2 linked regions of the Drosophila melanogaster genome follow. The protein of the gene in region 2 interacts with the protein of the main gene of each other region in a pairwise test. Each region holds a gene or a part of one and is shown on either strand. Other genes may lie near its edges.

Region 1 (3,103 bases), on a different chromosome or scaffold from region 2:
ACGCCCACCTGACATTCTTGTATGTGTATGCTTTCACCCCCTAAGCACACACACAAACAAACGCACACTGGGCACATACATACATACATACATACATACATGACTAAACCAATTTCCACAGAGCATTTTAAATTTCAAGCACACATGAAACGGACGAAGAAAGGCGAGTGGCAAGCCGTAGGCCGCCCCCTCCCACATTCACACACAGATGTGTGGGCAGCAACTTAACTTACAATAAAGGACATTGCCCAGCCTCCTGCCACCCACCACCCGCCTCCCCACCCCGCAACGGTATGTAAAGTGCGTAAGTTGTGTCCAAGGGTTTGGAATACGAGGATTGGGACCCTGGGCTTGGGTTCATTTGGGGGTTTTCTGCACTATTTTACATACGTAATGCGAACTTCATGGATGCAGAGCTCATAAGCGCCAACGGCCAAGGCTTTTGGAAATTAGCGTGGCTGCCAAATCAGGAACCGGCTTAAGGAGCACCAGGATTCCGGGATTGGGGTGCTATGGAGTGGAGTGGGTCGGTGTGTGGTGTGGTGTGTGGTGTGTGCTTGTATCCCCGGGCGGCTTGGTGGCAATCAACTGGGAATAGAGCCAGAGCACTCCTTTAGCCCAAGCGAACATGAAACGATTTAAAAAGTTATGTTTTATGTGTTCTTGTTGCCAAAGTAAACTGTAAACTGAATATGTTGATAAAATACAATAGATATGCTTTCAAAAATACTCGTAATATCATATTTATTCTGGTGAAACAAATAAGTTCTCAACAAAGGAAGGTTCCAGGTGTCCCAACCGGATTTGCTCCGAAAGAGACTGTGCCTCACAGGTCTTCGCCCAACTGGGCCGTCCTGCTCGGTATTTCGTCCGGGATGTTGAACGTGTGGCGGATCTCCTCGGGAGTCTTTCCCCTAATCATATTGGCCACCGTCTTGCAACAGAGATCCACTAGGCCCTTGATCTCCAGATAGTTGGCGGCCAGTATGATTTCGAACAAGGTGGGTTGATCGACGTTAATAAAGTTGGCGTCCCAGGCTGAGATGTCATGTGGGCTTTGCGGGCTCAACTCCACGCCCTCCGCTCCATGGGCATCATCGTCCTTGTGGTGATAGATCCAGGTCAGAATCTTGGATAGGATGAACGCGTTCACCTTGGGCAGCGGCACAATGGCATTCTCGTCGTTCTCCACGGCAGAGACCTCCAACATGGTCTTGATGGTTTCGGAGAGCTTGGCGGCTCGGACTTCCGTTGAAAAGATCATCCCATCCGAGGACTCAAGCTTGATGGTGGGAGCATCCATTTTCGGTTTGCCTTGCCTTTCTATTTGCCAAACTACGTTCAAAGAGATTCAGAAGAACAAGATGGGATGATTGATAGAGCACGTGCCAACTGGACGATTCGAAAGTTCAAAGAAAAAAGAATAGAGAACAGAGTGACCAGATGTGATCACTGCGGAATCACTGTCGTCAAGTGTGTACACACTAGAAATTGGAAGTCTTAACATTAAGAACTGTAGATTCGCTTTAGCTTTTTTATTGAGAATCGCGAATCGTGTTTTATTTATCATATCAGACCTTAAAAGTGTAATAAAAAAAAGTGTAATATGAATTTTAAAACCTATATGAATGTTGGGTAAGTGCTCAATCAAAAAATTTCAAAATAATAGTTCCGGAAAGAACCCCGTAAAAAATATTTTTAACAGAGGGAACTGGAAAATAGCACGTGGGCTTACATTACTTGCTCTAATTTTTCAAAAAAACTTTAAATTAAATATATATTTTTTCATTTGAAAAACAGACGGACAGAAGGCACTTTCTACCTGTTACATACTCATTAGCGATTCTAACATTCCCTTTTACTGTATTATTATTGTTTTATGAAACACTCCAATTATGTGTAACTTGCTTTCCATAAAATATATACACTTAACAGAATCAAAATTTTCAGTTACCGTAAAACTGTATTTTGAACCGAGTTCCAAAATAATATATTAATATTAAATCCAAGATACAAAGAAGAATTTCGATTTGCTAGCTTTAGTACTTAATTACGTACTTAATACGAGGATGAGGATGCAATTCGGCCAAAAAAGTGTCCGTTTTGGATAGCAAAAACAAAGTGCGAAAATACCATTATTCGAGTGAGTTTTCCTAGCCGCCAAACGGAACGCGATTTAAGTTTTTTTTTTTGTGTGCCAGTTGACGCAAAGGCTCTAACCTATTAGGCGGTCAGCAAAAAAATGAACTCGAGTCATGCCGTCTTGTGGAGCACCCTTTTCGAGCCGTCCCGGGGATCACCCCTTCCCATCGATTGACAGCAGCCGCACATAAACCAAAACCCTAAGATTTGTATTTAATTTAAATGCTTAAAAGATATATTAATTAAAAAAAGTGAGCATGTGGACAAGAATAATTTTAGGGTTAGAAGACATGAATACAGAGGGAGAAGTTTCTGCTGAAGTAAACATATTGATAAATTCTATCGGACCTAAACCTATACTTGCGTGAAAGATATCAAACTGCGAATGTACACTGAGAGAAATTTTCTGAATAATTATATCCGCAAATATTTGAATTATTCGCAATAATTCCTTTAAATGTGAACCCAAGGAGGAGACTTATTTTATATTACTTTTGTATTTTTAATTTTTATTTAATTTGCCACGCCCACAAACCGCACAAAACTGCCACGCCCACACTTTCGAAAAACGTGTTGATATTATTTCAAATTTTTATTAGTCTCGTAAATTTCTATTGATAAAAACAAAAATTTTGCCACACCCACTCGAACGCCCTAAAACCGCCCAACCGGTCACGCCCACACTTTGGAATAATTTTTTAAAATTTTTATAATTTTTTTTTATATCTATCGATTTTTCTGAGTAACGGGTATCTGATAGTCGGGGAACTCGACTATAGCATTCTCTCTTGTTTTTCCCAAAGTTGAACAAATTCTATACAGATTAACGCGACAAATGAATACACTGAGAACAATTGCTTGAACCCTAATTATATTGCTAGACTATAAGCTATTAAATATTAATTAAAATCTAACCGACCTTACCCGCAACCCACTCACTTACATTTAATTTTTACTGATT
Region 2 (4,856 bases):
TCGAAGTCCAACATTTTTCAGTGGCGTGGCCTGTGTGATCACTGTAATGTTGCCCGATGATGCCGTGGATGAGACCCTTGTGCTGTATCTAGTATCCAAAGCCTTGCTATCCGCCTCCTTCCTGATCATATACCCCTTTGCCGGGGAACTTTATCCCACTCAGGTTCGGGGTATCGGCATTGGTGCTTCCAGTTATATTGGAGGATTGGGTCTCATTGGCATACCTTTTATTACCTACTTGGGAAAGGACAATCTTAAACTGCCCTTGGTCATCATGGGCTTCCTTTCGATGCTGGGCGGCATGACGGGATTGCGGCTGCCGGAAACACTGCATCATCGCTTGCCGCAGACCATCGAGGAGGGCGAGGAGTTTGGCAAGAACTGGCAGTTCAAAGATTGCTGTAGATGCGCTCAAAAGCCGTGAGTTCAATGTGCATGTGGTGACCAAGGCGGGTATAAAACTAATTTAATATATATTGTGCTTACTTTTTGCAGAGAGATTTTATCTCAACCTGCGTCGTACGAGAACCTGGATGTCCTGGCTGGATCCTCCACCAATGCTTCTGAGGTGGAATTGGAGCTGCGGGACAGTCGACGGGTTCGGGAGCCGGCTCCCCGCATTGACGAGCGTACGCCCCTGGACACAACGGCCAGTGGAAGTGGGCGACCTGTTCATCGGCCCTCGATGAAGCGATTAGTGCGCCAAATGAGCGTCATGGACACCCAGAGGACGCATGATGGCACCATGCAGTTGACTCATTGGATCTAAGATTTGTAGCGACAAATCTAATGTATTGTCACATCTAGAAGAGATTTCTTAAAATTAATTAGATAAACTGCAAGGCTATTCTTTGTTTTCGCTAAAGTTTAAAATGATTGCATATAAACTATTTACTAATCTATTGCTTAACGCTAAGGGATATCTTTTTAAATATAGAACTATGGGCAGAGACTTCTTTAAAAACAAACATACAAATATAATTAATCATAAAAACTTACCATTTTTGCAGCACAATGTTAGCAATTGTCATTGTATGAAAAATAACGAAATTAATGTTTCAACAAGTTACTTAACATATAACAGCACTATTTAATTGCTTACTAATTTATTTATAATTTAAATAATAGTTCTCTAAGTAAACGCTTTTGATTCCGTGTTTTAGAAGTATTTGCTATGAGCAAATAGAGCAGCATACTTTAACTGCTTAAAATTAAATCTATAACAATTTCCTCCTTTAAATACCAGTTTTCTTTTCCTTTTCCATTACTTTTCCATTAATTATAGGGCATTGCCATTATGCCTAAGTTGTTTGCTTTTGTGAATTACAAAAGCTTTGTAAACAAAAACCGAAACTTAATTCTTCAAACATATCCGGTAAAAATAAATAAATAAATAAGTACGTGTAGCGTATATCGTATGGCGACTTCTCAATCACCGGTAATTGATTTATGCATTTATTCAGACAATTATGCAATTAATTGTTGTCAAACAAAAAGAAAACTTGCTCATGCGGTGAATAATAGAGGAATGCGCGAAATTGCCCCCACCTGTCGACCGTAAACTGCTGGCGGTCACTGTCAACCGTAGGAAGTGCCTGGACCCATGGGAATTCATAATGCTGGATCAGATCACAAATATGTTGACACCAAGGAGATCTTGCAAGCAAAAATGTAGTTTCTTAATATTGCTACTTAAGTTCAGTACGCAGTTCCAAATCCAAAGATTCGTTAAGATGGTCCTTTGTCCTAGTCTTTTTCCCTATAGATCTCTGGAGTATTTAGATTTGGATCTTGAATTACGGTATCAGGACTCTAATATTTACCCGGTTACACAAGGTCGAGCTTGATTTTCCCTTATTTCCTATCATAACATCTGGGCAGTGTCAAAAATGAATTAATCTAAATTTACGTACAAGCAAATAATCCAAAAAATGCCTAAGGCGAAAACGCATTCGAGATCAGTGAAGACTCCATTCCCAGTTCGCTCCAATCGCCCGGGTGGAGTCCAAAAAAGTGAGCCATCGCCATCGCCATCGCCATTATGCAGGACCAGTCTGCTTGATCTGCCGGAGGACATCATCCGACTGGTTCTCGAGTTTCTGCCCAGGATTACCGATAAGGTTCTGCTGGCCTGTGTGGCGCCCAAGTTCCGAGCGGCCTTCGAGGGCTGGGCGAGAGTGCAACGAAATGCTTTGGACATGGTTAGTCTGGAGACGGTGCCTCTGCCGCAATTGATCAGGTTCTTCAAGGTGGCGGGACCCTTCATCAGAGTCCTTCAAGTGGACTGTGCGTCCTACCAAAAGGAGTCCCTGCTGGTGGAGTTCGTAAAGGAATACTGCCCCAATCTGGAGGAGATTAGTTACTCGAACGCCACCGATGAGTTTCACTACCGATCGATTATGTCCAAAATGACGCACTTGAAACGGGTGACTATTGAGTGTTTGGATGCAGAGGATGTGCTCAACTTTGATATGCAGCCCAACCAGGAGCTGGAGTTTTTTGAACTGGTTAATGGTTGCTATACAGGTAGGTATGCACTGCACTCTATTTATGCGTTTGCGGGACTTTATTTTCGCAACAGGCCAAAATCTCTGCGGTTTTCCCAATCTCAAAACTTTGGTCCTTCGAGACTGTCTGCTATGGAACTCGATGGAGTTTGGAATTCCGCTTAAGTCGTTGCACACTTTGGATCTCGACGACTGTTGTTTCGAGGTTATGAATGTGAGCTTGTACCAGAAAATCGCCGAGAGCTGCACGAACTTGGTGGAACTGATCTTCTCCGGCTGCGACACCAACTTCGAGGTAATCGCCAACCTGCCCAAGCTGGAGCGCTGTACACTGAAAACCTGGATGACCTCCAACGAGCTGAATATTGGGTTCCTTACGGTTCTGGCAGAGAAACGAGGAAACAAGCTCACCCATCTGCACCTATCCGGTCAGTTCAATATCACCAATGAGCACGCCAGGTGCCTGGGACAGTTGAGTAGCCTCACGGATCTGCGGTTCAGCAACAACGATATCCTGGACGACGATCACTTCAAGTTCTTCAACGATCTCAGCCAGCTGGAGCGATTTGGTCTGACCGCGTGCGGTCGGGTGATGGACGTGGGGATGATGAGGATGTTGCGGAAGTGTCCCCAGTTGAAAGTTATTGATTTGACCGATTGCGAGCAGATCACCGAGGAGTTTGTGATCCAGGCCATTGGATTCTGCTCGAAGGGATCAGGTCGTGATGTGGTGCTCAATGTAAAGGGAACCATGATCAGGCGGCCTATATTGACGGTGGGAAAACCGGGGCGGGAGTTTCGAAAGCATATACTAACACTTTCATATTTTGCAGCATCCGGATTACGTGAATTCCTTGAATCGTCTAAAGGTTAATTTTATTTAAAACGACACCACTCGAATGGAAAATGGTAAGAAAATAAATGTCTATGAATTGTTGCAATAATTTGATCAAATTTTGTGTTGCCAAGGAATCATTTCTTATTGAACATCAAATATCAAGAGAGACACTGCCCAAAACCAATCAAATTTGATTTCTATTAATAAAAATCAGTTTAAAAGGAGTGCAAGTATTATTTTTGCCATAAGGAACCGTAGCTGTGATTTCTGGATTAGGGAATAGACGTGGTGGGCACTTCTTCCGTGAGTGGAACATTCGATGGCCTTGGAGCGCGGATAGCTAAGACAATGGGATCCTCACTGGATCGATGAGTCATGACCCCATGGCTGCCATAAGGAAGTGGACGATCGAAATTTATGATCATCACAATGCTCACAATGCTCCATTAGAACGCCGATAATTGCGGACAAACGTGTGTGGGTCGTGTCGCTGCACTTTGGGCCTTTGGCTGTAGTACGTCAAGCGGCTGGCTAACAAGCCAAACGAATGGAAACCGAAATCGAACAATACGCGATATTCGATACAGTTCTGAATCCGCGATTCAATTCGATCCAAGCGATCGATCGCCGGCAATAAATTTCGCATTCAATTGCTGCTCTATTGGAACTGAACTTTGTTGCTTTGTTGGCCGATGATGTCTGTGTTAGCAGCAGGAAGCTAAGTGACCGCGTCCAGTTGATTACACTTGGAAAAATAGAAAACATTTTGTTTAATTATAGAACTAATGTATCTTGCAGGACTCTTATAATACATATGTCCAGTTGGGTTCAATTAAATCTTTTAACCAGTCATTCTTCACAGGTTTTTTGTGTGATTTGGTATGACACCTTTTCTCTAGAATTATTTGCAGTGCAGATCGTAGAGCGAACTCACCTGTGGCCACTCCACTACTCCACTGGTTAGTCATCTATACGTTTTGATTGTTTTTTGCGTGTGCTATTTGTTTTACACTGACCTCGAGTGGCTCCTTAAATGGCTGTCGGCGGCTGCAATCGCCGCGACTCTCCGATCGACGGTGCTAGAAGGGGTTAGCAGGGGGTTAGCAGTGGGTTAGCAGGGGTTCTGGTGGCCAGGGGCACCCCGGCGAATGCCTTGACATGTTCAGGTGTCCGCCATGCTCGGCTATCTGACTAATTAGTGTACTTTAACTGGACCAGCAGAGCAGGCAGCTTGCTGACATTTGGCCACAAGTTGCGGTGGCATCTTCGGCTCATCCGGAGGAGCAGGGTTTGCATGAGTGGGGCACATTAAGCAGGGATAATTTGGCGTACCCTGCCCCTTTGCAGTATCGTATCTGGCAGATACTACTACTATATACTCGAAGCGTGTCCAATCACGCCTGTGAATTATTTAAAAATCTCGCTGGGCTGTCGTATTTCATAAGAGAGACAAGCCTTAAAATTGTTACCCTGATGCCATAGAAATTCGTGTTGTTTGTTGCTCGGTGACT

Evidence for each region.
Region 1: the proteins of CG9316 (region 2) and SkpC interact in a two-hybrid assay, tested with the Drosophila melanogaster proteins (2 studies listed by BioGRID).

What each region holds. Positions count from the first base shown.
Region 1 is NC_004354.4:19,814,338-19,817,440, reverse strand, and holds SkpC (SKP1-related C), read right to left. Parts: upstream 1,370-3,103; 5' UTR 1,304-1,369; coding exon 827-1,303; 3' UTR 741-826; downstream 1-740.
Region 2 is NT_033779.5:20,723,532-20,728,387, reverse strand, and holds CG9316 (uncharacterized protein), read left to right. Parts: upstream 1-1,836; 5' UTR 1,837-1,931; coding exon 1,932-2,526; intron 2,527-2,581; coding exon 2,582-3,282; intron 3,283-3,340; coding exon 3,341-3,391; 3' UTR 3,392-3,416; intron 3,417-3,476; 3' UTR 3,477-4,179; downstream 4,180-4,856. Other genes in the region: CarT (carcinine transporter), read left to right, coding at 22-420, 496-769.